Sus scrofa: one gene and its partner. The protein of the gene in region 2 purifies or fractionates together with the protein of the main gene of each other region. This does not show direct contact. Links are inferred from orthologs where the notes say so. Each region holds a gene or a part of one and is shown on either strand. Other genes may lie near its edges.

Evidence for each region.
Region 1: the proteins of TBL1XR1 (region 2) and BAG2 purify together in Homo sapiens (affinity purification with mass spectrometry; 3 studies listed by BioGRID and IntAct, with this or other methods). This does not show direct contact. The link is inferred for Sus scrofa from reciprocal best matches to the Homo sapiens genes TBL1XR1 and BAG2.

The regions. Positions count from the first base shown.
Region 1 is NC_010449.5:28,670,498-28,685,886, forward strand, and holds the start of BAG2 (BAG family molecular chaperone regulator 2), read right to left. Parts: upstream 10,001-15,389; 5' UTR 9,685-10,000; coding exon 9,572-9,684; intron 9,435-9,571; exon of another isoform or gene 9,297-9,434; coding exon of another isoform or gene 9,286-9,296; intron 526-9,285; coding exon 416-525; intron 1-415. Other genes in the region: E3 SUMO-protein ligase ZNF451, read right to left, coding at 13,593-13,639. UniProt on the Homo sapiens protein: Co-chaperone for HSP70 and HSC70 chaperone proteins. Acts as a nucleotide-exchange factor (NEF) promoting the release of ADP from the HSP70 and HSC70 proteins thereby triggering client/substrate protein release.
Region 2 is NC_010455.5:115,480,079-115,495,384, reverse strand, and holds the start of TBL1XR1 (F-box-like/WD repeat-containing protein TBL1XR1), read left to right. Parts: upstream 1-7,156; 5' UTR 7,157-7,437; intron 7,438-7,715; exon of another isoform or gene 7,716-7,823; intron 7,824-8,087; exon of another isoform or gene 8,088-8,249; intron 8,250-8,269; exon of another isoform or gene 8,270-11,393; intron 11,394-15,306. UniProt on the Homo sapiens protein: F-box-like protein involved in the recruitment of the ubiquitin/19S proteasome complex to nuclear receptor-regulated transcription units. Plays an essential role in transcription activation mediated by nuclear receptors.

The DNA of each region.
Region 1 (15,389 bases), on a different chromosome or scaffold from region 2:
CTTGACATCTTGACCCTGCTGAGGCTGCGTAGCAGTCTGGGTCTGGGCTAGACGCTCACTGAACGACACCAGCAACGCAACTATTAGCCCGGGGAGCCAGGCTGGGAGGACCACTGGGTGTGCAGAGAATCACCTCCCAGCAAGCCCATCTCTTCTTGGGCAGTAAGCTCTTCCTCTGGAAACGGGTGTCACTGGGTCCATAATCCACTTTCTCTGCCTTTCTCCCCTTTAAGTGACACCTCCACCCAACCTCTCACCCTCTGACGCTACTGCTTTTCACATCCCGCACAGCTCTGGCCCTTCTTGGAAGCATGGACCTGGAGCAGCTCTCGGGCTGGAGGAGTGGCTCTGCTGATGCCCCCCTTCCCCCACCCACCCCCAGGACCCCCCCACCCCCCCGCCCCCCGCAGCGCACCTTCGCTGATCTGCCGCATGTCCTGGCTGTTCTGGATGCTGTGGATCATCTCCAGCAGCACCTCCTTCTCCTGCTCCACGGCAGTGGCCGCTTCTCGCAGAGCTTCCACCCTGGGGACCAAGGGGGGCCAGATGTTATAACCCAGACAGCAGAACGGCTGCCTCATCTCCCCATCCCTCAGTCCAACTCACGGTTAAAGATGGTTAACCAAAAATGCCGTATTCCTTGTTTTCTGTGCTTTTAAGTTTTCTTTTTAATCCACTTGCCCTGCTGCTCCCATTTTCCTCCCCACTCACTGGGCAATAGTTCTGTTTAGCGTTTATTTATTTGTATTTGCTCTACAAAAAAACGGAATACTTGTGTGCTCGCCTATTTTCAACTTATTTATATCTCACTGTTTCTGCCCTCACGCAGTGTATTTTATGACGAAGCACCAGGTTCCTCCGAGTACGTGTAATCAGGAGCTCCTAGGTCTCGCATAAAATGCCACCTTGTGTCCCCACCTGACCTGACCTCCCCGACCCAGTAGAGATGTACCTCGGCGCCAGTTTTTCGTCACCTCCAGTAACAGGTCAATGACAACCTGTCCTCTCGGGGCCCTGATAACAGGCACCATCCCAGGGCAGGGCGGCTTCCTCGCAGGGTGTGCGGACCCTTCATGCAGCTCCATTCTGGATTGTTCTCCAGAAAGCCCCTGGGTCCCCACAGCCCTATCAAAGCTCAGCATTTCCCAACTTTCTAACCTTCTGCTGTCAGTGTAGTAGGTGCTGCGTCAGTACTTAATCTGCCCTTCTTTCATTACTCATCACTTTGGACATCTCTCCGTATCCTTGTGAGGCTGTTCGCAGCCTTTGCCTATCTTGCTTTTTCTTTTTGCACACTGGGGTTACTGTCCCCCTGCCATGTGCACACTCAAGGCGTTAATGCCCTGTTGGTGACAGGCCCTGCAACCACCTTCTCCCATCCTGTCCCCTGTGAAGTGTGTCTGGGCGTCCTTCATGGAGCAGAAGGCCTTGTTCTGAAGGGGTCAGGTCCATCTCTGCTTGGTTTGGTTTTACCTCACGGCTCATATCGGGAAGTTTTGCTGCAGGGCCCTCCCCTCCCCAGGTCCTGAGACGCTTTCCTGCACCCCCGTCTACTAACGTCTGACTTCACCTTTCCATGCTTATGTCCTAATCCACCTAGAATCCACCTTGTGTGTGTGGCTAGGGGAGATGTGTTTCTTTTTCTCCATATAGTGAACCATTTTCTCCAACGTTATCCATCCCCAAATCCATCTTTCCCTCAATGATTTGTAGATTGTCTGCCTCTGAAGTCTCTATTCCATCTTTCGGCACTGTGCCTGTTGTTATACCAACACCCTTTGCTTTTTCTTTTTAGGGCCGCACCCGAGGCACATGGAGGTTCCCAGGCTAGGGGTCAGATAGGAGCTGCAGCTGCAGGCCTACACCACGGCCACAGCCACGCCAGATCTGAGCCGCATCTTCGACTTACACCACAAAGCACAGCAATGCTGGATCCTTAACCCACTGAGTAAGGCCAGGGATCAAACCTCAAGGATCCTAGTTGGATTTGTTTCCCCTGAGCCACAACGGGAACTCCCTGAAGTACTGATGGTAGTTGTACAGACTCTTTTAAGTGTTTTGATACTTTGGATAGTGTTGGTATTGGGAATAATACATTTCTATATACTGCATTTTCTAGTTGGCTATTGCTGGTTGGAAAAAAAAATGCTGTTTTTGTAGTTCATGTTGTAGCTGCCACCTTAACACTTATTCACTTAATGGTTTGATTTTTGATTCCATTGGTTCTTCTAGATGGATGATCATATATATCATCTGCAAAAACGATAATCCTTATCTGTGCCTTTTTAATCCTCTTAGCTCCTATTTTTCTTTCTCATAGTACTGACCAAAGCCCTCCTATATAATATCAAACAATGGCCAGCACGGTGGGTTAAGGATCCAGTGTTGCTGAGCTGTGGCATTGGTTGCAGCTGCAGCTCGGATCTGATCCCTGGCCTGGGAATCCACATGCCCTGGGGCGGCCAAAAAAGAAAAAGAAAAAAAGCCCAAACGATGGTGATGAGCAAGGGCATGTTTGCCTTCTCCGAATTTAAAGAGAATGCCTCTGTGGGTTTTGGGTACGATGCCCTAATCAAACTATCAAAGCACCACTTCCCCCAACCCTACACAGGCACCGACTACGGACTCAGCCAGTCACTAAAGAACCAGGTTGTGGAATCAGGGGAGAAGAAAACAAAATCCTGTGTGTTTAAGGTGCTCTGTTTCCAGGGCATTTTCTTACATATATTACACCACAACTAAACAAGTTGCTGACTTTTGCAAAATAAATAGTGACAGATGTAGCTCCAACACTCAGGCGGCCTTGGAAGCACAAGATCACAGACCTCATCCCGACCGTGCCCTCCGTGGGCGCAGAAGGAACCACCAGGCAGTGTGAGCACAGGCCATATACGGATGGCCCTTCCCCACCAGCCACACGCAGGCCTTCTTCCCAATGGGCACCCACCTGTTGTCCCCCGAAATAGCACCGACAGACAGACGGTAGTCACAGGGTCTGAATTCATCAAGATACTAAATATACGCTGGACTCTGTGTTTATAAGAGCCAGCAGGAGCAAAGAGCGAGGAAGAATCTTATGTGACAAATTTAGCTGGAAAATGCAATCAAAACCAATAGTCTATCAAACAGTAAGAGCGCAGCATGAGGCTGTGTTCCAGCCCATTCATTACAGACTCGTGCCCTTTAATACACACTAGGGAATAGAAACTGGAATCTTCTAATATAACCTAGGGAACCTCAGGCACATACTCTAGAGCCTGGCACACACCAAAAGGGTCAGCTTGGCACCAAAAATGAGACATTCATGAAAAACAAAACATGACTCCAGCATTTCAATGGCACCAAAGAATTACTTGATTGGTAAATGAGAAGATGCCGACAGAAGAGATGAATTTTCCAGCCCTCCTGAGCCTGTATGCACATGTAGGATGATAAAGAGAGAACTGAGAGTTACTCTACAGAAGGAGGCCCATTTATGAGCGTAAGTTTCAACACGAAGCTCATGGGTTGTTAACAAGAAAGTGGTTTGAAAAGAGACGCTTTAGACAAAAATATAAAAATCTGTCACAGAAGATGTTTTGTCATTAAATGAGACCAAATGTAGAGGAAATGAGATGGAATTTTTAAGTTTTACTTTTTCCCCCCATATGGCTAGAAATTGCCAGGGCATTTTCTCCATAACACACAGATTTCTATCTTGTAAAGGACTTCTTCTTCTTCTCCTTTTTTTTTTTTTGTCTTTTTAGGGCCGCACCCGCAGCATATGGCAGTTCCCAGGCCAGGGGTCCAGTCGGAGCTGTAGCTGCTGGCCTGTGCCAGGGCCATGGCAATGCAGGATCCGAGCCGCGTCTGCAACCTACACCACAGCTCACGGCAATGCCAGACCCTTAACCCTTTGAGCGAGGCCAGGGATCAAACCCACAACCTCATGGTTCCTAGTCGGGTTGGTTAGCCACTGAGCCACGATGGGAAGTCCTAAAGGACTTCTCATGTATGATTTTGTGTAAACCCTTTTCATCTCACAGCAACAGTAAAACGCCATCCTTCCCGATGCAAAGATTCCCAGAGCTTTTGGCATCACGGCCCTTTCCTCTGCTGCCCCCTCGTCCTGCGACATCCCTCTTCCCCTACCCAGGCCTCCTGGGTGATCCTTTTTCAAAACCCAATCCTTCTGGCAGGAACTGTTTCCTAAGCAACTTCCTCCTTCCCCTGCCCCAGGCAGTCAGTCCTACCCTGGTCTAGTGGATGGACTATTCACAGGATGAAGGTTTTATTTTTTTTAAAAAAAGTCAATCCTACATCTCTACTTAGTTTGCTTGGGTGCTAGTTGTACTGTTCATCAGCTACTGGTATTCCGAAATCAACTCATACATACATCTTTTTGTCCCTCCCATTAGTTCTAGAAAATTGTTAGCCAATATATATCTTCAAATATTTCCCACTTGCCACTCTGCTATGTCTTCTGGAACTCTGCTCAGACAAGGGTGAGACTGCCTCTCTTTACCCTTCACGTTCTCAACACCTCACTTGACAGCGCTGCTCTTGGCGGAGAAGGGTGGTTCTGTTTTTATGAGCAGATCCTGGAAGAGCTGCATGTCCAAATTGGGAAAGAACTGATCCTCGCTCCAAGGGCGGCCTGGGCTGTGCTCCTGGAACACTCTCCGCATGGAATCAGGACTAAACTTTAACAAAGACAGGCCATGGTCAGAATGTCCCTAGGACAAAAGTGCACGGCGCGGACCGCTGGGTCCCCACAGCCTGGGGACCAGAGAGAGGAGGAGCTGGGAGGTGACTGACTGCACAGGCTGGTCACAAGTGCAGGGACCGCAAGGGCCTCAGTCCTGCCACTCAGGACAGTGCTGCTGCCACCTACTAGCTGGGTGACCTTGGGTAGTTTCTCTTTGCCTCAACTTCCTCACTTTCACTATACGGATCATGTGACAGTGGTTGTGACCGAATGGAGTGAAGCAGGTGGAGTTTAACGCAGTGACCGAAAGCATCAACTAAAAATGTATTTATGAGTAACTCGGATGCAGAACTTACGGATGCAGAGCACCAACTGCTACACCATTTTCTACAGATTTGAGCATCCGTGGATTCTGGTCCATGGGGGCCACTGTCAGCATCAAGTGCCCAGAGCTGAGGCCGCAAACACTAGCTTCCTGGTTTTTATGACACACTTACCACTACGAACTTGGGCTTCCAAATGGCAAGAATTTGTGCTTTCATCAAAAGGAGGGGAAATGGTGGGAGTTCCCATCATGGCTCAGTGGGTTAAGAACCCAACTCGTATCCATGAGGATTAGGGTTTGACCACTGGCCCCACTCAGTGGGTTAAGGATCCAGTGTTGCTGTGGCTGTGGTGTAGGCCAGCAGCTGCAGCTCTGATTCGACCCCTGGCCTGGGAACTTCCACAGGTGACACCCCCAACCCCCCCCCCAAAAAAGTGGAGGAGGAGAAATGGTAAACAGACTTTTTTCAAAGATGATTATTTCTAAAACAATTCTTGAAATCATAGTCCTGTTTCTTATTCAATACTCCTGAGGGTTTTTGGCTGAGCCTGTGGCACAAGGAAGTTCCCAAGCCAAGGACTGAACCTGTGCCACAGCAGTGACAAGGCTGGGATCCTTAACCGCTAGACCACCTTATTCTTACTCTTGTATCAAGGAAGGCTACAAGGATCATGTACGTTTCAGGCAAAGTGCAGCTTCTGAAGGGCGTCCGAGTCATCACCAAAACAATGCATTACACTCGCGGCTGAGACACTGGGGGGTAAAAATGGGACCAGGGTTTAGCATTAGGAGCGGCTTGTTAGTGGGGTGGCCTCAGACTGGCCTCCAATCCCCCTGGACCGGATCCCCCGGCTCCTAAAAGAGATAATAGGTGTCCTTCTCCTGCCTCAAAGGGTTCTGGAAGGTTCAGATGACAGTGTCTATGACAAGGGATCTTTTTAATTACAGGCTCTTAGAGATGCTAACTATGGCGCCAGCTTGCTTTGTGACCCCTGGGACGCCACACACGGAACCGTGACAGGAAACTTTCAGCTGTGCCCCCCCTCGCCGATCCTTTACTCCCTGGCTGCCACGGAAGCCACTGCAAGTGGCTGGCAGGCGGGGGAGGAGCCATGCTAGGAGCCCTTTGGGGAAATCTGTGAACAGCTGGTCTCCCAGCCAGTTCCTTTTCCCCTCTGCTGTGTCCACACACCCCACGTCCAAACACCTGTTACCCTCCAGAACCTTTAGGGGCCACTTGACCCCTGGCACAGTTCAATATTCATTCATCCAAACACCAGTCTAAGTGGAAAGTTCACCTCCTTCTGTAAAATCATACATTCATCCACATACTCTTCCTACATCCTGAAATACGACACACTTAACTCTAAGAAAATTCAGGCAGAAGATATCAGTCTCCCGGATTCCAGCTGTGTGACCTTGGACAAGTCATTTAAGCTCTCAAGCCTCACTTTTCCACATGCAGAATGGAGGGGATGGTAAATTCCACAAAGGCAGGGCCCTGCATGGTCATGTCATTCACTAACTAGCTGTTAGTGTGCAGTATTTATAAATCACGGTAGCTGCTAAAACAGTGACAATCGTAAGAAACATGTTTTGGGCCACTGACGAATGGAAAATCAGGCACCAGCTGAACTGGTCATGAAAACCCGGAGAGAAAGGCATCACCTTTTTAGGAGGAAGCGAAAAAGGAGGTGAGCTAGAGTCAAAAAAGAAAGGCTAGCGGTGTGGAGAAGTGTTAGAAATCCAGGGAAATTCTTGACTGGTCTGTAGAATGCTGCCAACATCTTAAAGCTTCTCAGACGTCGCGGGCACCAGTTCACACACCAGGTCCTAGAGCATTTAGCACAAATCTGTTTTTTAGCTTCAGACGGAAGCAGTTTTTGCCACAACTGACAAAGCCAGTAAAAGCGAGTTTCCACGTACAACCTGTAATTTCCTCTCTAGCTAGTATGCTGTTTAGTCATCCTTTTTTTTTAAGGGCCACACCTGTGGCATTTGGACATTCCTGGGCTAGGGATGAGTGGGAGCTGCAGCTGCTGGCCTACGCCCCAGCCAAAGCTTGCGGCAAGGCCGTATCCTTAACCTCCTGACCAAGGCCGAGGATCGAACCCACATCCTCATGGGTACTGAGCCACAACGGGAACTCCTTATTAGTCATCCTTCATATGAAATTAAACCATTAGAGAAAATGACCTGGGAAAATCATGCATTCTTCTTCCACTTGATCTTCTAGGTAGGATTCTAGGTTCTGAGAGTGCACTCCACTCTCCATGGCTCACATGGTTTCAAAAACTCCTGTTTTTACCCACCTTCCCAAATGCTTCCTAAGTTTTCACTCAGCGTTACTTTTTCTAAAAGCAAGAAATAAAGCTCGCAAAAGTCTACAATTACTGGGAAGGTCCTTAAAATGAACAACTAGACACACATTAATCAGCCTTTCCTCCTCAGTTCAAGAGTTAATTCGGCAAAATACAATTTAATTGCTTGTACTCAGTAATCAGAATTCGCTTCACATCAATCGCTGGAACACAATATTCAAAACCAAAGCCTTCCTGGTAAAGACGAGCACTTGGCTGCTTTCGTACGTGAGGCACTAGTTCAAGTCTGAGGACCACCACTCAAGCTTGAAGAAGGAGGCGGGGGCAACATCCCCCACGGTCCCTGAAGAAGAAACCCTTCCTTTCTGATGGGGTGTGGGGGTGGGGAGACCCCAGAAATGGTTGAGAACATGCCCCTCCAAGTTCTAAAGCCCGGGAAGATGACAAGACCCCTTTGCGATGCGATGAAAAAAGAAAAGGCAGTCTGCCGGGGCGGGGGTTGGAAAGGGGACAACACACGACATTCAGGAGCACTGGCTTCAGCAGGTCCAGCCACGGGAAGCACTGCTCTCCCCTTATTCCATCTGTGTCATTCCCAGCAGGACCCCAGAACCAGTCTGGGTTCTGGTTTCCATTACTACCCACAAAATCATGATGGTGGAGAATTTATTTTCTTTTTTTTTTTTTCATTTATAATGATATTTCTTCCATTATAGCTGGTTTACAGTGTTCCGTCAATTTTCTACTGTACAGCAAGATGACCCAATCACACATACAGGTATACATTCTGAATTTATTTTCCGAGAAGACATTGTTTCTTGCCATCATCATCAATAACAAATTTCAAATGATAAATACTAAATTTTAAAATGATTAATATAGGCCTCACTTGCTTAATGCTAATTGATAAATAATAAATGCCTCATTCAGTTAATCATGATAAATAATGAAGAAATGCCTCATTTGGTTATTAGTGTACTTTATGAGTCATAAGACCCCTCCCGTTTTGGTGTATTAATCAAGGGAGGTAAAGGCAATTCTTGAAATGTCTACCTTACCTACTCCTTTGCTCATCCAGAACCTGGTGCAAACTATGGAAAAAAATGCGGAGGTTTAAGGGAGTTGTGGGTGCCCCAGTTAAGATTTTCATAAAACTACACTTGCACACAATTTATACAGTAGCTTTTGTGACCTGAACCTTTACGAGAAGTACATCAACGTTTTCATACATTGTGGAAAGAGAAAAGTAGGTCCAAAACTTCTTGCATAGGCTTTAGGCATCCCAAGGAGCCTACCACCCCATCTGCCGCTAGGAGAGTCCCTGGCCACCCGGTTCTACAGGAACTGACAGCACAGCCTGGAAAGAATTCAGACGAGCAGGAATGAGGAGGCTCTGCGCTCTGGGAAAACTGGCGGAACAGGCCCACAGAGAGAGATTTTCAGGAAAATTTAATGAACCCAGATTCTTGCATCTTCCCACACGCAGAAAAGCACTAAAACCATTGAGGACACATCTGCTCTCCCGACCAGCAGCGACCTTCTATCAAAACGTGCGCTCGCCCATCTACCCCGCCCTCAAGTCCCCTCCGTGGGGCCGGGGCGGCGCTAGAGGCCCCCCCACACCCCCAGGTGCTCAGCACGCCCCCCAACAGCGCAGCTCGGGCCCCCTCACGCGGCTTTATTTCAAGCCACACGTTGATTCCTTATTAAAACCTGAATCAGCTAAGAGTGGAAACAGGTGACCCCTGTGGTTTCGGGCCAGCAAACTGCACTTGGAAGGTGGGAGCGGCTCTTGGTGGGGGGAGCCCGGCGCCGGGAAAAACGCAGAGGGGACCGGGCGGGCGCCCCACAAGTGCCCTCGCCCCGCCCCGCCTTGGGATCCGATGGGGCCCCGAAGCTTTATTCTGAGATATTGCTCTTAAGTGTTGGAAGCAAAAGAATGGATCACTGACCTTGGGACCATTAGACCGCCACCCGTTCAGAAAGAGCATCTCAGGGAGACCCGACCGAACCCCTGGCGTGCAGAAGGTTCTGGAAGCTCCGCGGACCCGCGGTGTCAGCCCAGCCCCAACCGCCAGCGGCGTCCCTACCCTTCACCTCCTCGGCTTCCCCCGCTCCCGCGCAGGCAAGAGCGCGGCCGCCGGGACGCGGGGCCAAGGGACCGCCGGACGGACAGGCTAGCGAGTGCCCCAGGGCCGGGGTCCGACCGCGCCCGGATCCGCCCGCCGCCCCGCACACCTGAGCTCCAGCTGGTCCAGGCTCTCCAGCAGGCGGCTGGAGCGGTCGGCCATGGACGAGGAGCGGCAGAAGCGGCCCTCGTTGGCCTTGGCGCTGATCCTCGCCTGAGCCATCTGCGCCCGGAGGCCCGAGGTCACCGCCGTCACCGCGCCGCACGCCTCTCTCTGACGCGCCGCCCGCGCCCGGGCTGGGGATCCGCGGTCTGGGTGGGGACTGGGGGCCAGGGGACTGGGGGTCGGGGGGCGCGGGTGGTCGAGCAAGGACTGGGGTCCGGACGACTGGGGGCCAGGGAACCGGGGCTCCAGACGCCAGGGGAACCCAGGGGCGCGGGGCGCTGGCTGACCGCGCGCGGGCGGTAGGAGGAAGCCGGGCGGCCTGCGGGGCGGCTCACGTGGCGTCGGGCCCGCTCTTCGCCTGGAACACCGCCCCCAGGGCGGAGCCCGCGCCCCCGGCCCGGCCCGGCCCAGCCCAGCCCGCCCTCCCGCCTCCCGCGCGCAGAGCCGGGCCGCCGGGGCCGTGTCGCCCGACCTGCCTGGCCACCAGGCCCTCTCCGGAGATGAGAACGAGGCTAATAGAGCGCGCGAGAAAAGGCGCCCCTCTTACCACCCAGCGGGACGTAGGAAGGTGAACTTCCTTTATTTTCAATGACTTTCTTCTGTTCAAAAGTTATTTGCTGGAATTTAAGTGAAATGGTTAAGACCCTTTCACACCCAACTTATTTAAATCTCCTGTTAGGAAAAGATGCCGTAGGCCACGAGGTCAGACACCATGAAGGTCAGTACAAGTGGAGTGAATGTTGTGGGGAGCTCGCTGCTTCACGCTGCAAGAATGAGAAGGTACAGGGCACTTCAAGTGGAGATAATAACACTTTAAAGCTGGATCACAACCTTTAATCTGAGATCAAAGCCATGTAAATAAGTGAACAGAGATGAAGCCCTTAAGGCTGGATGGCAATTTTTCTGAACTTAGACTCCATGTCGATGAATTGTTGCTGGAGGGGAATATTTGACATCATTAAGTATATTCTCTCATATCATGACACGAACAAAGAATCCTTCCACTTTTGGAGAATGGAAGTCTATCAGGTGACTTCAGCATCACCCTGGACTCTCATGCCAGAGACCCAGTCCCCTCCCCTTCAGGGTGCACCCAGCCTGCCTTCCCTCCTGGACCAGTGGCCTGCCCTCCCACTTGCACCCCTGCTTCTGCTCTCAGCTGTTTGCACTCAACACAGCCCCACAGCAGTCCAAGTACAGCAGGTCACACCACTTACTCTCAGAAACCTTCAGGGCTCCTCCTTTCCAGGGTCTTCAGAAAAGGTCTCTAAGGATGCCACCTTGCATTGCCCTCTGAGCTCATCCTGCTCTTCTAGACCTTTTCACCCTCTTCCTAGAGCTCGCCCACCTTCAGGTCTCCTGAGCTTCACCTGGTCAGGGTCCTTCCCGACCACCCTGTTGGAAATAACTGCCTCCCCCTGCCCAGCCCCATGCTCTCCCCCCTTCCCTGTTTCACTATCTTATCATTCGAGGTTCTATCCAACCCCCTCCCCGAGTGCTCCAGAGTGGGGGCTTTGTGTGTGTGTGTGTTGGGGGGGGATCTCAAGTGCCGAGAACAGTGGCGAACACATGGTAAGTAGCCAAGAATACTTTGTGAGTGGGTGAACAAATAAATGATTTGAAAGAAATTGAAAAGAAAAAAATGATGCTCTTTAAATTGAGCCCCAGCCTGCTGAGTATCAGAGCTGCACTTGCCAAGGGAGCCCAGAACAAACCCGTGTCTTGTTCCCCAGCGATGTCAGAGAGGAGAGCCAGGCCAGCAGGCGGGTAAGAAATAGGACAAAGGGCTGGGCTGGTAGGACACCAAGGATCCAAAAAAAAAACCCCACCTTCTTAACTGAGGAATTTTTATTTAAGAGAATCAATGATACCACTGAGCAGATGCTACCAATACATTATCTATATATCCTTCTTAGAATAAACATGTCCATCATCCCTTTGGGGAAGTTGTTATTCAGGTATAAAAAGAAGGAATCACAATAAAAACATTTTTAAAAGAAAAAAAGGGAATCACAATAAAATGTGGGAAAAAAACCCAAAATATAAGCATCACTGTCAATGTTAGCAACATTTACTCTTGATAATAATGCACAAAACTTTTTGTAACATCTACCAACTACCTCTCCTCCTTATAGCTAAATTAAGTACAAAGTATGAAGTAATTTTAAAATGATTTTTAATTGCTTAGTAAGTAGATTATACAGTCAGTGACTATTCTTAATTAAAACGTTAAACAACCCAATTACCGTATTTTAAGGGTCATGGTGAAACAGTCCACTCCTGTCATAGAAAAAGCCTCAGTTCCTCTCAACCATTCACACCTCAGAAGCCTCCTACCAGAACACGGGCTGCATCCCGCCTGCTGCTGTGATACTGCTCTGCGGCATCTGCCGGAGCATCTTCTTGCTAGACATCCTTTCTGAGGCTCACTACTGAGTGCGCTCCTGCAGATGTCCTCAAGGTGTGGCCCAGCGATTCCCTCCCAAAGCCTTGCTTAAGTCCTTTAACAAACAAAACCACAATGTGGTCGCTCTGGAAGAATGACTGGTACATTCTCAAGCTATGATGTCTACTTTTAAAAAAACTTCAAGGAGGTAGGACAGACATCGGGGCAGGGTGGGGTGGAATTCTGGGGCCAGGGACTGAACCCGAGCTACAGCAGTGACAACACCAGATCCTTAACCTACTGAGCCACCAGGGAACTAGAACTGACATCTTAAGAAATACAAACAAATTGGTTTCCAATGTGAACCGAAAAAACAGTAACAGTATTTCACACTAAATTATCTAGTTGTAGAGAAAAAACAAAGTTCTAGCCCCGATTTTTTTTTCTTAAAGAAAAATTTATACTTAGAGAAAATTTTACATTTGGTAAGTAATTACTAACTCGAAATCTTTAGAGATGACATTTCTGTTCAAGTAACATGAAACATATGCACAAGATAGTATGACAAGCCCCTTCTGAGTCATCTAATTATGGAATATTGTTATTAGCACAGTGGGAACTCAACACTTGCAAATTAAGTATGTGATACCAGCTGTAGGAAACTGACAATTTAATGAATAACTAAAATGAAGATACTTCCATATGAAACAGAAATTTTAAAGGGTAAAGGAAGATTACTCCTGAGCAGACCTTCAACATTATTATCTGAAGAATACTATGATTACACAAATATACATATAAAAGGACCAATATTATTAAAAATAAGTCTAATTCTATGCAAATATTTTTACATCGTTCCCTTTAAATAGGAGATAAGACAAGTCACATAAAAGTCTAAGCAGGTAAAGGGAATGGAGAAGTTTCTTTTTAATACTTTCTAAGAAATGAGGTGTTCCTTTTCTACATCCCAGCGATGTGCTGCTCTAATTAAAGCAGGACTGCCCGTCTGACACCCACAGAGAACACTGCTGGGGAACTTCATGTTTCCACGGTCACTTCCATCACTCTCTTCCAATAATCATAATCGAAGATCTCAAAGGCATTAGGTATTAGTGCCACATCAGACGTAGGCTTTACAGAAAAAGTGAGCTATGGCAGCTTTATTTATATTCATTTTCACTCCTAAAAAAATAAGCTAGAATTATCTGTACAGTACAAATAAAATTAAAAAACAAACTCTATTTGGGAAACATGTAAACAATAGTCAAGAGCTTTTCTTTTCTTTTTTTTAATTCCTTTAACCTAAATATATGACTTCAACATTAACTGGGAAACGGTGACACCTGTTTTAGAACACATGATTTGTATTTGCATGAACATGTATTCTATTCCTCTATACATTTTTGCAAAGTAGCACAAAAATACAAAGCAATATCATATTTTGAACATATGAAAGCAAAAAAAGCGTGTTTTCAAATACATCTGCACTAGTAGATTTCTAGTCTCCTTTAGAAAACTCAAAAATTCATTATCCTGAGTCTCTTCAAGGCCACTTGATGTTGTGTGGTAATATCTTTAATTACATCTCCTCAAGACTTCTTCTAATTGCTTCTTCTAATTCCACATCTGCATTGAAAGAGAAGTTTAATATTTAGAGCAGAAACCAAATAAAGATATGCTTTATGTAAGCATCATCAACGAATATTTTCAGGAAGGAGAGGAAATACAAATTGGAGAAACTGAGGATAACTTAGCAGTTTCTTCTGACTCTTCTGAAATAAGGGAAGCTGGATATAATCGCAAACTGAATTCTAATATGTATGAGCCTACTATGCTAGGAAACTTGTAAATTATTTCCATTTAGGGATACAGAAAGTCAACAAACTTCCATAATCACTGACAGGTAATCACTAGATTGATCATGAAAAAAAAAAAAAAAAAAAACCAAAAAAACAAAAACACCCAACTATGTATTTTCAAAAAGACTCAAGGCAATCACATAAGACTATAGAAATAAAAAGGCAAAACCATGAAATGACAAAATCTCAAAGGCAGTTTAAAAATTCAGTTTTCATAAAGCTTTTCTGGTATCTAAGGCAAAGGGTGAAACTCATGGCTGTATCATGTCTTCTGAGAAGGATTTATTATAGACACATGCATTCACTGAACAAATATTTACTGAACACCCACTGTATGCCAGGCACAGGCATACAACAGTGAGCAAGACAGACATTCCTGGGTTCCTAAAACCTTCTTTCCCTCTCCTGAGAATGATGATGTCCAAGAAGGTGGAGCTAGGTGTCCATCTATTGGTCTTCGCTAGCTTCTCACCCCAGATTTATCTCATCCCATCCTGTCCACAGTCACCCAGAGCCTGCATGGTTCACTGGTGCCAATAATTCCTCTAAGATACAGCTACACCTTCCTCTGAGCTGGGCACTAGTGTGGTATAGTCTGCAATTTAAAATATCACAAGCTACTACACACTGTGTTAGTTAAAGCTAGATTTAGGTCAGTGAGTTGCCCTAAGATGAATTCAAAGGGATGAAGAAATACACTAAAAAGTCAAGATGCTCTTTGCAAAGAAGAAAAAGGTGACAAGATTTATTTTTATGAAAACTTATTATAAAGTTACAATAACTAAGAATGTGGTACCAGTGCAAGAATAGATGAAGACACCAAGAGAACAGCATATATGACTCAGGAAACAGACCCATGCTTATATGGAATCTTGGCTGATAACAAAGGCAACACTGCAGAATGGTGAGGAATGTTGGGTTTTGTTGTTGTTTTTGTTTTTTTTACTGCATTTTAGGACTGCACTCTTGGCATATGAAAATTCCCAGGCTAGGGGTCAAATTGGAGCTACAGCCACCAGCCTGCACCACAGCCACACCAGATCCAAGCCTTGTCCATGACCCATACCGAAGCTCATGGCAATGCAGGATCCCCAACCCAGTAAGCAAGACCAGGGATCAAACGTGCATCCCCATGGATGCCAATCATGTTTGTTAGCATGGAGCCACAAGGGAACTCCAAAATTTTTTTTTAAAAAGACCAATAATTCTACAAAAGATGTAAATCAATGGGAACTCCTATCTACTAATGGAGTGAAAGAAATGGGAACAACCACCTTGGAAAAAATAAACCACATATGCAACCTACACCACATAACCACATATAACCACCTAAAGTGAACATAAGCAAGTCAATGCCTCAGTATGTATCCCGCGAAGCATGGACAGATGTGCACCAAGAGATGTGTGAAACTGCTCCCAGCAGCACCACTTGTAGCAGCCAACCGAATGTCTATAAACAATGAATAAACTGTGGTGTGTATGTAAAATGATTATACAGGTCCTGGAAACCAAAGCCA
Region 2 (15,306 bases):
TATGAGAATTTTATTAAATTTGTATTTTTGTAATAATCGAAAGAACTTAAGATTCATCATATTTTGTAATCATATTTATGAGCATTACTTGTGATTCTTTTGTTTGTTGAGCAGTGAAGTATTTTAAAAAGAAGATTGAATACATTAAATGTAGAAATGCAGTTTAATAATTCATAGGAATTTAATTAACAAAATTGTAAACATTCACTTAAAGAGAGACATATATAGAACTCGAAATTGAAAGCTTAAAGGAAAACTAGGTTTTCAAATTTGTAATAACTGAAACTGAATGAATTACTGTATATTGCTTTTTTTGCCCACAAAACCTGTCTTCAAGAATACTCCACACCCTGATTGCCATGTAGGGGGAAGGGGAGGTGACAGTGAGTGGTAGGGAGAGTGGGACAAAGGTCTTCCTTGTGTAATCCTCTCTTCCTTGTGTGGATGCACTGCTAGCATCAAAGAAGTGCAGCCCAGTGAATCCAGTTGCTTGATTGTAACCACTGCATTCAATAACATTTTTCAAGATTCTGATCTAGAAAATGTGGGTCGTATAAATGTTATTAAGATGTGGTTCCTTCTCTCAAGCAGTTGCCCCTTTTTTCCACTTTGCATTTCTCTCTTCTCCATTCATGAAAGGACTTTGCAGCAAACACTTGCACTTTCTCACCTTGACCTGCTCAGTTTCACTCAGTGGAAAAGCAGACACAGCAATCAGACACCTTGAGTGCAAATTCTCATTTTGCCATTTTCCAAATGAACTTAAAGCAGCAATTTAGGCTTGATACTTTAGTTAACTCATGAGTCAAACTGAGATAGCAATATTATTTACCTCTCCAAGTTTTGAGAAAATTAGGGATAGCAAAGACAAGAGTGCTTGGTAACAAGCAATGACCTTCAGTAAATGGTAGCCATTAATATGATCTGTGGTTACCTCCATCATGTCCTTGTACAGATAGAATGTTACCTGATATCCACCTATCACAAAATTTATTTGGACTTCCCTGAGCCCATCAAGAGCAGGGAGGACATCTGAGACAGGAGACAGTAGAAGGTAATAGAGAACTCTTCTTTATCTACGCTCACTCTCCAGCCAATTGTATCCAGACCTATGATTTCAAATATCCTTACTTAACTAATGAGACCCAACATTATATCAGGTCTGATACCTTCTCTGAACACAAGATTTGTATATTGGGTTTCCTATTTGACATCTTCATGTGAATGTCGGATAGTCACATCAAACCCTAAAACAAAACTCTTAATTTTTCTCTCATAAACGTTCTCCTCTCTCAAACTTTCCCATTTCAATAAATGGCCATTCCATTCTTCCACTTGTTTGGTTTAAAATCTTAGAATCATCTTTGACTTCTGTTTCTCTCACATGCCAGAAATATATTTCCCAATCCTTACATAAAATGTACACAGAGTGGAGTTCTCATTGTGGCTCAGTGGGTTAAGAATCCAGCAGAGTGTCCATAAGGATACAGGCCTCCATCAGTGGGTTAAGGATCTGTCATTGCTCCAAGCTGCAGCGCAGGTCACAGGTGTGGCTCAGGTCTGGTGTTGCTGTGGCTATGGCATAGGCCAGCAGCTATAGCTCTGACTTGACCCCTAGCCCCGGGAACTTCCATATATGCAGGTACAGCCTTAACAAAGAAAAAAAATGTACACAGAGTATAGCTTCTGTTAACCAGCTCCTGCCACCATCCCTCATGCTGCCATCCTCTCTTTGGGATTTCTGCACTAGCCCCTGACTAGTTGTCTCCTTACCACTGTTGCACTATTGCACTTGATACTTTGCATAATAAAACAGAAGTCGGGTCAAATCACTTCTCCACTCAAAGCCTTCCAATGGCTTTCCATCTCATTAGAAGAAAAAGGCCTTCACAGCCCCTGGATCCCTCTTCTGCCATTCCTTGGCTGGCTTTGTGCCCGTCAACTTTTATTTCTAGAATATAGCACCCTTGTATTGGTCTCAGTTCTTTTATACTTGATATTCCCTCTGCTTGAAATATTCCTTCTTCCAAAATTTGCCCATTCATCCTGCCACTTCATTTTCCTGCTGTGGGTCACTTTAGCTGAGCAGCCTCTTCTAAAAGCCCTATTTAAAATAATATACATGCCCAAACTCTCCCCACCTTATTTCACTTAAGCTTGGCACCTGTCATTTACCTGACTTGCTAGCAGCTTGGTATGGTCATATGCCCAAATTCTGGCCAATTGAATATGAGTGGAAGTGTTAAGTAAACTACCAGTTCAAGTCCTGAAAGAGAAGACCTAAGTCCTCTATTTCACCTCCTTTCTGGCCCAGTGGCTGGAACCTGAATGTGATGGCAGGAGCTAGAAAAGCATCTTAGACCACCATGTATAAGTTACGCATTGAGCTGCTAGAACAATCTGTGTCCTTGATCCCTTATCAGTTCTGGAATGCTTACAAATTTGAATGGCCATGTAAGAGAATAACTTTTACATTGTTTAAGGCTTTTTTTTTTTTTTTTTAAATATTGTCTTCTTTTCAGAAATCAAACTTTAGCCTAATACATACATATTTTTTGAAAGTCCATCTGCCCTCCCAACCCCCAGGGACAATACATTTAAGGATTGACCTGGAATGTAGATTCTGTGAGAGTAGGGGCTTGATTTGGTTTACTGTATACAGCTTCTTTTTTTTTTCTTTTTGTCTTTTTATGGCCACATCCATGGCATATGGAAGTTCCCAGTCTAGGGGTCCAATCAGAGGGGCAGCTGCCTGCCTACATCACAGCCACAGCAGCAGGGGATCCAAGCTGTGTCTGTGGCCTATATCACAGCTTACCGCTGCTCATGGCAACGTGGGATCCTTAATCCACTGAGCGCCAGGGATTGAACTCACATCCTCAGGGGTACTAATTGGGTTCATTACTGCTGAGCCATGATGGGAACTCCTTTAAACAGCTTCTTGAATGGTGCCTGGCACACTAAGCTTTCAATAAATGTTTGTTGAATGAATGAATAGCAAAATCATCAACATAGTGCGAAGCCTTGAACACTGCTCTGAGGAAGCACATGGCTGATCAGTATAAGTAAGTGATTGGTACAGCAATGTGCTCTGTGTGTGGTTGGTTTTCTATTCTGACTAATCACAAAGGCAGGATACAACCTGCTATTTTCATTATCTGAGAGGCATAATACTTGTAAGATGGTTGTGTGTTGCTTTTGTAATTTAAATGAAGACTCACAAGTAAAGTTCATTGTTGTAATGAAATCAGGTCACAGAGTCATGGAAAACTGTGGCAAGGTTCACACTTATGAGGAAAGGTCACACATCACATGCTAAGCACAGATGGAGAAAAGGAGCTTGTGTGCTGAGCTCTGGAGATGTGTGGCTAAGATGTGCATCTGTGTGGATGGCAAAAACTGATAGCTGGAAAAACTACAGACAAAGAATTGCACAAATTAAGTCAAAATGAAACAGAAACATATCACAGGGTACTAGCAAGATGCTTGGGGGTAAATGCTGCAGACATAAAGCCACTGAATTCCTGGGTGAGTAAGAATACAAAAAAGAGTTACGGTGCCAGGATAATATTTTTGGTATCAAAATATATTTTTCATGCTATTACATTTGTTTTGAATATTTTAATTACATAGATCAGCTAATGTAAACATCTTAAAACATGGTGGCTTTAAAAATACAGTAATAAGATCCTGTTGGTCTGGAATTAAACCACCTTAATTTAAAAATGTCCTATTTCCTGAATGATGAAAGTTGTAAAGGTGTAGGCTATCTTGCCATACCACACCCCCAAGTGTAATATTGCTGAAATATTTAAAACAAGTTAAGATTTGTTTAGTCATTTTATAATACACATATAAATTCTGCTAACAGTTACTGATATGAAGTTTTTGTTGAGTAATTAGCTAGAAAGTTGAAGAGAAATTTCTTAATGATGTGCCTCTTTGCTTTAAAATTTTTCAGTAAGAGAGTAATTTCTCCTTTCTAGAAACATTTATATTCAAATGTTTTATATTCAAAGAATAAGGACAGCTTTTAGATTAGGACAAAGTACTACAAACTAGTAACAATAGTTACTTCTTTGTCCTTACCTCATTCTTGTGTCTAACTATTGCTCGCATTTTGGTGAGACCTCTGATCTGGTATACTGTATGACTAGAGGGTAGGGTAACGATACATGTGACCTTTGTATGGCAGCTCATTTATCTGAGTATTTCATGTTGAAGCCACAAGGTCGGATAGGTTCTGGAATATAGAAATGGAAGTGATCAAAATATGGCCTTCTTTAAAACTCCTTTGCTGTACTTTACTGGAAGAAGTTTATGGCACAGGTGCCCACTTTTGATGACTTTTTTTTTTTTCTTTTTTTGGTCTTTTTGTCTTTTCTAGGGCCTCACCCGTGGCAAATGGAGGTTCCCAGGCTAGGGGTCCAATCGGAGCTGTAGCAGCCAGCCTACGCCAGAACCACATCTGCGATCTATACCACAGCTCACCACAACGCTGGATCCTTAACCCACTGAGCAAGGCCAGGGATTGAACCTGCAAGCTCATGGTTCCTAGTTGGATTCGTTAACCACTGAGCCACCATGGGAACTCCTGATGACTCTTATCATGATATGCAAATCAAGTCATTTATGCACAGAAATACCTTATAAATTACAAGGAGGTAAACAAATTCATGCATTATTATTATAATTGCGATAATAACAATTTAGGAATTTCTGTTATGAAAGAAGGCAGCATGGAGTAGGGTATAAGAATTTCAGACTAGAAGCCCTGGGCCCTATGAACTGGAGAGAGGATGGGCTCTCCTTTGGGAAGGGAAGGAATAAGGTCATTTTGAGGGAAACTAAGTCTGGGGCCCCAGATTTGGAGATTACCATATTAAGAATCAGTGTAGTTGGTAAATCCTCACACCCTGGATGAGTGGTTTGATTTTATAGTGTTTGCTGCCTGGACAGGACCCACCATGGTGACACAGTGTTAATCTTTAAAAATGAGCTAAGCCAATACATTTGTTTCATTGTGTGGCTCAGATAATGAACCTTAGTTTTACTGAGATAGCTTACTAATTGAAGAGGATTATGCTTAGTGACTTACATATGTAATTAATCAGTGCTTAAATATATTGAAGGAAGATACAATGTTTTATTGGTTCTGGAAAGTCTTTGAAAAGGTGCTAGTTCTGCAGTAAATAAGCCTGAGCTTTAGAATCTTACTGAAAGGTAAGACTCACCCTCTTTGTGCTGTTTCCCTGAACACTCAACAGTGTTTTGGAAACCTGCAGTTATCTAAATTCCCATCAGGTGACATTGTTTAATCTGACATTCCCTCTTTCAAATATGAAAACAGCTCTAAGGACAAACCACCAAGATGCTTTGAACTCTCTTTCTGGTGCTTGGGAGGAGGTTTCCAATCTCACTCCCTTTCCTCTGATGATTTTCCTTGCCACCCCACCATCCCAATACATGGCTTGAAAGGGCCTCTGGCTTCTCCCCACCCTCTTTCAAGGGCTCATCAAAAAAAAAAAAAAAAAAAAAAAAAAAAAAAAAAAAAAAAAAAAAAAAAAAAAGGGCTCATCAGGGGCAGGAGCCTTTGACTTTGCTCAAAAAAAAAACACCTGTCTCATCACTGAGCTTATTAGGCCACCCAGAGTCCAGATGTGTAAAAGTTACTTGGAATGAACTTTTTTTTTAAGTATGAAAATTTAGGTCTCTGATACTGAGAGAAAAAGACTATTGCTTTAAAATAATGACTACACCAATTTCCAAATATTGTGATTAAAGTACGAAAACAGAACACCTCACCTAAAAAGGCTGTGAAAATGTTATTTTACTTTAAAGACAGGAATAACCGAAAGTAACAATAAAAAGGTTTCTTCTAGGCCTAATCTTAAGAGTAAGCTGCTTGTTATACACTAGGCTCATACAAAGGTCTTAGAAGACCCCAAGCCCTGATTTTGAGGACTTTAGAAAGATAAACGCATTTGTTTAAAAAAAAAAATGTGGCTTGCTTCCCTTTTTTTAAATAACCCCTTGCATTCCCTTTCTCATATTGTCACATCATCACTCATCTAAGTTACACTGTATAAACCGCCTTGATATGCTACACACATGCAAAAGTACACAAAGTGGATAAACTTGTACTGCCGATGCTGCCTTAGAAGTATGTATTTAGTAAACATTTAGTTACATTATTTTATTTTTGTGAAAAGCGAATTGATCGACCAAACCTTTCAAACAGACCCACCAGACGATAAATACCACCATATGTTTAATTCACTGTACATTTGGGCATAAACACTTCAATTACAGCTTTGTGTTTAGTATCAAAACCCTTTTCTTGTGTGCGTGTTTTCTGTACAGTTCCTGTGCTCTGGATTACATTTTGAGAATCGCTTATTACAGATAAAGCACCTTTCCAGGTACGCTTCCGAGAAACATATGTATTTATGCACACAAAGGTGCGTGCAGATCTTCTCACAAACACATGTCCATATGATGCCTGCGCCGTACTCTCCGCACACGCTCCCTGCGTGCGTTATGGCCCACCTGCCGCACCGCGCCGTCCGGGTGCCCGGGGGCCACGCCGGCCTACCCAGGAAAGTTTACCAGCAATGCCCCCCTCGCGACGGCGCGAGCATCCCCGCCCCCACAGGGCCTTGAGCCGCGCGGCCAACACCCAGGCCTCTCCGCACCCGGCCGCGCGCCGCGGTGGGGGCGGGGCGGTCCGGGCCCGGTGGCGCCTCGGGGCGCCTGCGGGTCTTTCTTTCTTTTTAAAAGGCTGCGCCGAACCCGCCCAGCCCCCCCAGCGCCACCGCCCCGGGCGGGCGGGGAGAGGAGCGGGGCCAGCAGAGGCCCCCCTAGCCGCGCCGCCACCGCCTCCCCGCGTCCGCGGCGCCCCTCCCCCGCCGGCCCCTCCCCGCGCGCCCGCCCGGCGCAGGCCGCTCGGGTTTGTTTTGCTGCGCGGCCGCCGCCGCCGCCGCCGCCGCCGCCGCCGCGGGCCTCGCGAGCTCATTTGTGCCTGGCTGGTCCCCATTCCTCTCTCCCCAGTGTTGAGTGTCTGAGCCGTTGGCTGCTCCGAACCGTTTGGCTCTTTCCCTTAGTAACAGCTTTTACCTTCTGCCTCAATTCCTCTCCCCGCTCGCGCCCTTCCCCCGCGCGCCGCCTCCCCCCGCCGCCGGCCGCGTGCGCCCCCGCCCCTCCCCCCGCGGCGGGAGCACCTCCGCTCGCCACCTGGGGACCCGCGCCGCGCTCCCCGCCCCCGCCCGCCCGGCGCCCATCCCCCGCGCCCTCCGCTTGCCGGGGTTATAATTGCCTCTCACCCCCCGGAGGGGTTATTTTGGGGGTGGTTGGAGGCGGCGGCGGCGGCGACGAGGGGAATTTCCTTGTGCCTCCATTCCCGGGAGGGGGGAGCGCGTCGGAGGCCACCGTTTCCAGGTAAGCGCCGGGGGCCGGACCCCGGGGTGGGGGCTGCGGGCCGGGGCGGGGGGCGCGGGCGGAGGTAGTTCGGGGGCGCCGGCCGGCGGGGGGATGGGCTCAAGTGGAACGTGCATTTTCAACTTGGCCCTTCGGGGAGCTGGGGGTTTGGTGGGGGAGGGAGAGAAAGGAAAGGCATTTAGGGTGCCCCATCCCCCCTTTTAGCTCTCTCAGGCTTCTTTGAAATGCTCACGTGCCTGCCCACCCCCTACCCTTTCCTGGTCCCGGGGGATCCTCACCCTTATTATGCTGTTGTCCCCGAAAATGTGCACCTCGGCCTTCTCCCCATCTTCCACCCTTCATCCGTTTACACCCCCTTTGTGTGTGAGTGTGTGTGTGTGTGTGTGTGTGTGTGTGTGTGTGTTGTATAGGGGGAGGCTTTCAGGAAGGAATGTGCAGCAAATTGAATCAAGGAGCCATCATGAGGCCGACTCCTTTATAGCCTATTTTTAGCAGGGGAGAGGGATCTCTACTGTGCGTGTTATTTTGTTAAACCTTAGGCAGCAATGGAAATCCGCTCCCCTCCCCCGGCGCGGCCCGGGCCCAGGCGCGGCGACCCCGGCCGGCGTGCGGGGGGCTGCGGGTGGCTGTTAGGGCCGTGCGTCCCGGGCGGGGGCGCGGGCGGGGGAGGGGCGCGCGGCGGCGGGGCCGCACTCCTGGACGTGTTTGTTTGTAACTTAGTGCTTTTTATCGTCTGGAGAAGATATTTGATAGAGCCACTTTGAAGTTGGGTTCAGAAGTGTAGAATTGGCAAAGTTATTGCCAGCTTCCTGGTAAGTTTTGGGTGGCTCAGAGTCACATTATTTTCTGACAGTGTAAAGGCCACGTTGTGAGGGTGGTTTCTTGGTAACTTCCTCTTTGCAACCGATGTCATTTTTTGAACAGAAACAGACTTTTATTTAAGTGAAATATTAATCTGAAATGGCAGTTCAAGGGAAGCCATGCATGTGTTAACGTGTTCAGTATTTTTGGAAGTTCCTAATTTGCTCAAACAGGCATCACTTTGCAGTGGCAACCGAGAATAAATTTAGGTTTGTGAAAATGGTGTTTCACGTGAAATTTTGGTTGTAATGGCTCTTAAAAAACCCTCCCGTTTTTAGGTTATCTAATAACATTGTCGAAAATAATTTGGTGATTAAAATTTACAAAAGTGTTGGAACCTAGTTTAAAACTTGCTCTTTCTCAGTGTCCGGAGTTTACTTAAAACCGTGTACTGTGCAGGCACCAAGGTGAAGAGTTTTAGTACATATGTGATTTTACAGTTGACTGAGGGAAGTTGACTATTGGCTTTCTTGTTTTCCAAACAAGACCCTTATGCTAATCTAAACAAGCTTGTTAATAAAATATGGTGGGTGAAATGATGGGTTATTTTTAGTCGGAATGGTTTGATTTCCCCTCCCCCATATAATCACCCCCCCTTCCCCCGTTTTTCTTAAAGACTCCTTTATCGGATATAAGGCCCTGGTGGTGTTTTCATTTACTTACCTAAAGAAATTGTAATATATATCTTGGTTACACATTGGAAGTACAATGGGTGACTTTTTTGTTTTCCCAATGTGGTTTATTTTCATTTTTGTTAAATAAGATCCATGTTGCTTGGTGTATTTTTGTAATCTTGACTTACTGGGACTGTATGTTCTCACCATTTATAACAAGTTTATAGTCTAGGGAAATAGGGCAGCTTTGTCTCCATGAAAACAGTGTGTAGGGTTGTATCGTGGGAGTTCATGGCAAGCAAGTTTCGGAAATTATCATTGAGCACGTTCTAGAAATAGTTAGCATTTACCTGTGGAGGAGGGGCAGCAGAAGGAGAATAGGCCTGAGAGTGGTTAGGCTCGTGATTCCTGTTTATACTTTTTGCTCTTAAATCAGGTTTTTCTGCTTCTTTGGAATATGATGTTTTGTCCATTTCTGCTGTCATGTACTGTGTGATATATGTAATCATAACCATTAAGTCCATACATAGATAATTACTATTTTTTGCCATTTGAGTAGTTAAAATCAGACCTAGAGGACAAAATACTAAGCTGTGTGGGGGATGAAAATAGTATGCACATTGAAAAAAGTTTTTTTTTTTTTTTATTGTTAAGGAACTTAATTAAGGGACTTACTAATGGCATAAAAATTGTTTCATAGCTCATCACCAGTTTATGATTTTTCTTCCAGCATATATCAACTTTGGTTATTAATATGGGAGACACCCTTGGTAAATGGAATGGCCCCTTTTGAAGGTTGTATTTTTTAATTGGTTGCTTCAAAGAAGTGTTAAATATTTAATAACTTTTACGTATTCTCAACATCTCAATATCAAATTAAGATTTGTCATGATTACTGTGATACATTCCTACCAAGAGATCACTGCTTCCTCTGTACTGGGGGCCTATCAAGCAGATGGGGTAGAAGCTTAACACACAGGGGTTACTGGTAAATAGAAATATGACTGATGGACCTTTTGAATGGCAACCTGTTGAATGAATAATCGGTTTTTATATGGCAGTGAAATATAAGTACCACTTTATCAAATAAGTAGCTGACAGGACTCCTCCTCCAATTTACTCCAGCAATTATTACTACAAAGAATTTTTGACTTGATGCATTTTGATGAAGTTAGTATAAATAATTTGTTGGGTTTGTTCAGTTTCTGTGTTATTTATATAAAAAGAATTGAGAAGAATGTGACTAGTAAGGAAGTCAGAGGAGAGGACGGCAAAAATATTGGCACTGTCTGGGACTTTGTATTTTTCTAGTACATAGAATTTGACTCATTTCATAAATGACATTTAAAGTATAAGTCAATGAAATGCAAAAGAAGAAAGCAGCTAACATTGAGACAGTTATAAATATACATAGTATTGAAGGGCTAAGGACCCCCCCCCCGGGGGGGGGGTGCTGTGTAGTAGAGAAATGGTAGTTCACTGATTTGGAGACCACCATGGCCCTATCTCCTGCTCTATCACCAACAGATACTTGAAGTTAAAAAAGAGAACAGAACAGAACAACCTGTGAAGGAGGTCATGCTGGAGAGGTTTGCTATTCACTGCCTCTGGAAATGGACTCCCTAAGAGTACAATTAATTGCCATGTTAACAGAGTCCAAGGAAAGGATTCTGCTTCAGCTCAGCTGTAAGAAAGGTGTGAGGTGCTTTCTATGTCATTTTTACCTCAGGCTAATCCTATGAAGTGGGTAGTATTGGGCTCTTTTTGTGGATTATTGAAACAGCAAGGTGCAGGTAAGTTAATTCATTTGTCCAAGGCCACAAAATGATCAAAGGAGCACTAGGATTCAAACCTAGGTGTGTCTGAGCCGTAGTCCATGTTTTTAGATGACTGAACTGGGCCAAAATTTCTCAGCTGTTTTGTCAGTCTTGTCTACAGTTATCCTTGCAAAAACTAGTGTTTTTTATTCAAATTTATAATTTTGTAGTTAGGGTCTCTACCAACTGGGTCAAATGATTGCATGGATAAATGAAATTTATATATGGGGCTCAAATGGCATTGGCTTAACTCTAGAACTGCTTAATAAGATGCAATCTTCTGGTCAACTGCTGTATTTCCTACATTAAGATTGACAGCAGTGCTGTAGCCTTTCCACATACTGTCAGCAGAAATAAGATGTGGTTCCATACGTACAATTAAGGAAAAGCAAATAAAAGTTCCTGAAAACTTGTAGGAGAAAACTCATAAAAGTCTTCTTGTGCAGCGTATCGATTCTGTCAGGGGTTCTTGAAGAGAACTGCTTGGTTTCAAACTTGGGCTCTGTCCCTTACTAGTTTTGTCACTCAAGGGGAGTAACACCCGCTGTGTCTCAGTTTCCTGCTCTGTGTAAAGGGACAGTCAACTTCTAGAGTTGAGAGGAATAAGAGAACTGTGTATGTAAATTGCTGAGAACAGAAGCTGACAAACAAGCATCATGGAAATGTAAGTTTGGAATGTTGATAAATTGGGTTGAAATTTGCTTTTTTGTATTACATTTTGTTTGTTATTTAAGTAGGGGCATAGTGTCAAAGAAGGTATTTGGCAGTTTTATTTCCTGAATTCTTAGGCAAAATAGTTGATACATGATCAGCATAATTTATTTACTTTTGAAGTGGTGATTGAAGGCTTACTTGAAACATTAGATTGGATTTTAATACTAAGTGGGAACATTACCAAGTTGGTGTAAGTACAGTAGTGGGTCTTTTCTGTGCCTTTGTTGCTATTCTGTCACTTGAGCTTGGACTTTTAAAATCTGAACCATTTGAAACATTTTCGAACTCTTTAAATAAAGAGATTTTATTTTTCTAGGCTGGGTCTGGCAGTACTTAGGATTTGCTTTTTAAATTGGAGTGATTAAGTAGGTTATTGTTTTCTCCTTCCTCATCCTTTCATCTGTGTTCTTGTTCTATATTTTCAGCTGCTGTCAAGACAGTTTTGCTTGGAGGTTCTTTCTGTTCCTCAGATATCTGTGAGCCTTGTCTTATTTTTCCTTCCCTTTTTTTTTTTTTTTTTTACCATTCTTAATTCAGCAGTAATGTTAACTACTACTAGAGTTCACTGTGTCAGGCCCATGATTGAGTACTTGTGGCAGTCCGATTATCTGGTATTCTGATGAATGATGAGGAAACCAAAGCTCAGATAGTAAGGGGTGTAGGGATGGATTTAGGCCTAGTGTGTCTGCCTTCTAGGCCAGTGTTCTTAACTAGCAGTCTTTTCCCAGTGAGTGAAGGAAGGCATTAAGGACTCGTTTGAGTTTTCTGGGTTATTGCATTACTTTCTAGTAGATTGCCCTGAGCATCCTTTCTTCTCTAACTAGTAACAGTATAATTTATTTAAAATATTGGTTTCATCATGTTAGTTCCCCTGTCTGAGAACCCATAATGGCTTCCCTTTCCCAACTGGATGTAGCTATTATGCTTTAAATCTGGCTTTTAAGGCTCCATAATACCTATTCAACTTTATTTCCCACTCTTCTCCAACTGGGATTCTTGCCTGCCTATCAAATACTGTAGTTTTGCCACACTCATTACTCCTCTGCTTTTGCACATGCTGTTCCTTCCCTTTGTCCATTTTATAGCCTAGTTTCTATCCTACTTCTTTCATGAAGTTTTTCTGAACATCCTGACTCAGGATATTTCTTCTCTGAGATTCATTGCGTTTAATGAATGCACAGATTCTGTAATTATTTATTAAGTATACGTCACATTGTCTAAACTACATGTTAAGTTTCTTGAAGGAAAGGCCCATTTTCCTTAAAGTATTTCACAGAATTCTTAACTTTTATATTATACTATCTTTATGATAAAATGGATTGTTTCTTTGAGGGCTCATGCTAAAATGAGAGTAGTGACAGTCCTCTTTCACTCTTGATGTGGAAGAAGCTTCTTTTTGAATTAGGCCTTCAGAGTTTAGTTGTACTATAGCCACATTTAACTGTTTGAATTTCGATGCTGCCACTGTTGACAAGGACGGAAAAAAAATCTAGTCAACATTTAGAGTGAAGTGAAAATGCTTAGTTTTATCTTCTTAATATTTCACCACAGTCCTGGTGAACAACGTAGTCCAGTTAGAAGTCATGTCTTGTGTTTATTTATGTGTTGTTATGAAACTTAAGATTCTGGATTTTATTTTTTTAATCCTCACGCTTTTTTGCTCATTATTTTCTCAGTAGTATGTCTAAATAAGATTGTTTTTAGCTCTCAGCTCTGACCGCATTGGAGTCCATTTGAGCCATTGCTATGAATATATTAAACATACATCTATCACACAGAATAATAAGTGGGTTTAGTCTACCAGAAGAGTGTCCTGTAGCCATCACTCTTCAGTATGTTTTTATGGTAAAGATGTGGCAGATTAGTTTCCAACAACTTGGGCAATTTATTCTAAAGGTAACTAATTTGGTATTATGTCCTTGAAATTTTTAATATTCAGAGTTTTAAAAGGTTTTTAGTATCAAACAAAGTGCGTTGGATGTTTCCCTGCTTGTAAGCTCTTAGATTCTTAACTCAGAAGTAATACAGTTGAACTATGAGGACCATGCTGAACGACCAAAAATTTTAGTTAAACTTAAAAAGAGTGTCCAGATTAATAAACGTATTTATGTAAAATGAACGGGGAAGGATAGGTATTGAATGTTTAAACCAAGGAGTTTGCCACCTGTTATCCTCTTTATAGAAAATTTCAGGAGATAGAATTTAAAAAAACAGAACATGGGTCAGAGATAGTCATCCCAGTATTTTAATAGAATAATTTGTCTTTATTTTCCTCTTTATAGATATTGAATGTTTAAACCAAGGAGTCTGCCACCTGTTTTCCTCTTTATCTATTGAAAATTTCAGGAGATAGAATTAAAAAAAAACAGAACAAGGGTCAGAGATGGTCATCCCAGTATCTTAATAGAATAATTCTTCTTTATATGAAATTGTATTTTGGATGTGCAAACTTTTTTTTTCCAACAAAGGAGATATTTTAAATTTTTAATTACTTTATAACAAAAAGTAAAGAATTTTTACTTTTTAAGAACTAGATATGAATCTACATCTTTATTTTCATTTTGTCTGAGATCAAAGTTGGTACCAGTGCGTGTGTGTGTTCTTTCTTTCTCTATTTCTCATAGTGTCCTTTTTAGCACACTGAATGATAGGCATTGTAACTTGGTTATTAAGTGGATGTTTGTGTTTTTGTTCTTACTGCTTATCTACTTGAATGGTGCGTTGCATTTTAACATCAATTCAGTATTAAGCAAATCAATTTTTGCCATTTTTCACAAAGCCATAGTTAACATTGGTCATTCATTTGGCATGTAGAAATGTGTGGGAGTTTCAGATAAAATGCTACCTAAAGTTTGTTCTTTCATTCTACCAATACTTATACAGTCAATTCCTGTGTAAAAATTCTGAGGTTTGTTATCTAATTTTTTTTTTTGAGAAATCTATGGAATATTTGCTTAGAGTTTTTAAAGAATGAAAATCTATAGCCTTACACAGACTAATAGGGAAATTTTGACATTAGTGTAAGAAATCACCTTGCCAGAGAAGTTCTTAATAGTATATTTTGGTGGTTACTTCAACTACTAGTAGAATACAATTTATGGGTTAGGGAGAGGTATTTTATGCTTTCTCCTTAATTTGAACAGACTAATTGGATAGAGCATATACTAATTTTGTTCCATTTCTGTTTTGGCGCTATCAGATGTCATTAACTGACAGTGTAAAGCATTTGGGTCATCTACTTTGGGTTTCTGAAATAAGGTAATGGGAATAGATAATGAATTTCCTTAATACCTTTTTTTTCTTTTTCTGTATAATTATTCTTTTATGGGATAGGATTTATCATTCCTCTGTGAATTTTTAGATGCTGTTTGTAGCCGTAGCTATGCCTTTGGACACCTTTTTATTTTAAAATGTAGTATGCTATATACTTAAAGAATTTTCAACCACTAAAGTGATGGATTTTCTCTAAATCACCTTTATCTGTCTTCCTTAGTAAACGGTATACATTTGTGAGATCCTATCCTGGGATTAGGAGTGCAGTTTTACTGTATCAGGGAAATAGTTTTCCTATTCTTCTGCAAGAACTTATAGACCCTCAGGGGGATTGCTTATTTGACCTTGGATTTCCTTATGTCCTGCTAGCAGAAGTCACCAGTTTTAACTACTGAGGGAGATGTTTTGTGTGAATTGTTTCTTTACAGATTTGTTTAGCTTTGATGTTTATGATTTCCTTGTTAGTGTTTATGGGATCTTGTCAGAAATACATTTAAATGAAAAATGTTGAGGCAGAAGATATTGTATAGTCTTCTGCCATTTTAGTTTAAAAAGAGGGAGAGGAAAGGACACACAGGATGTGTGTGTAT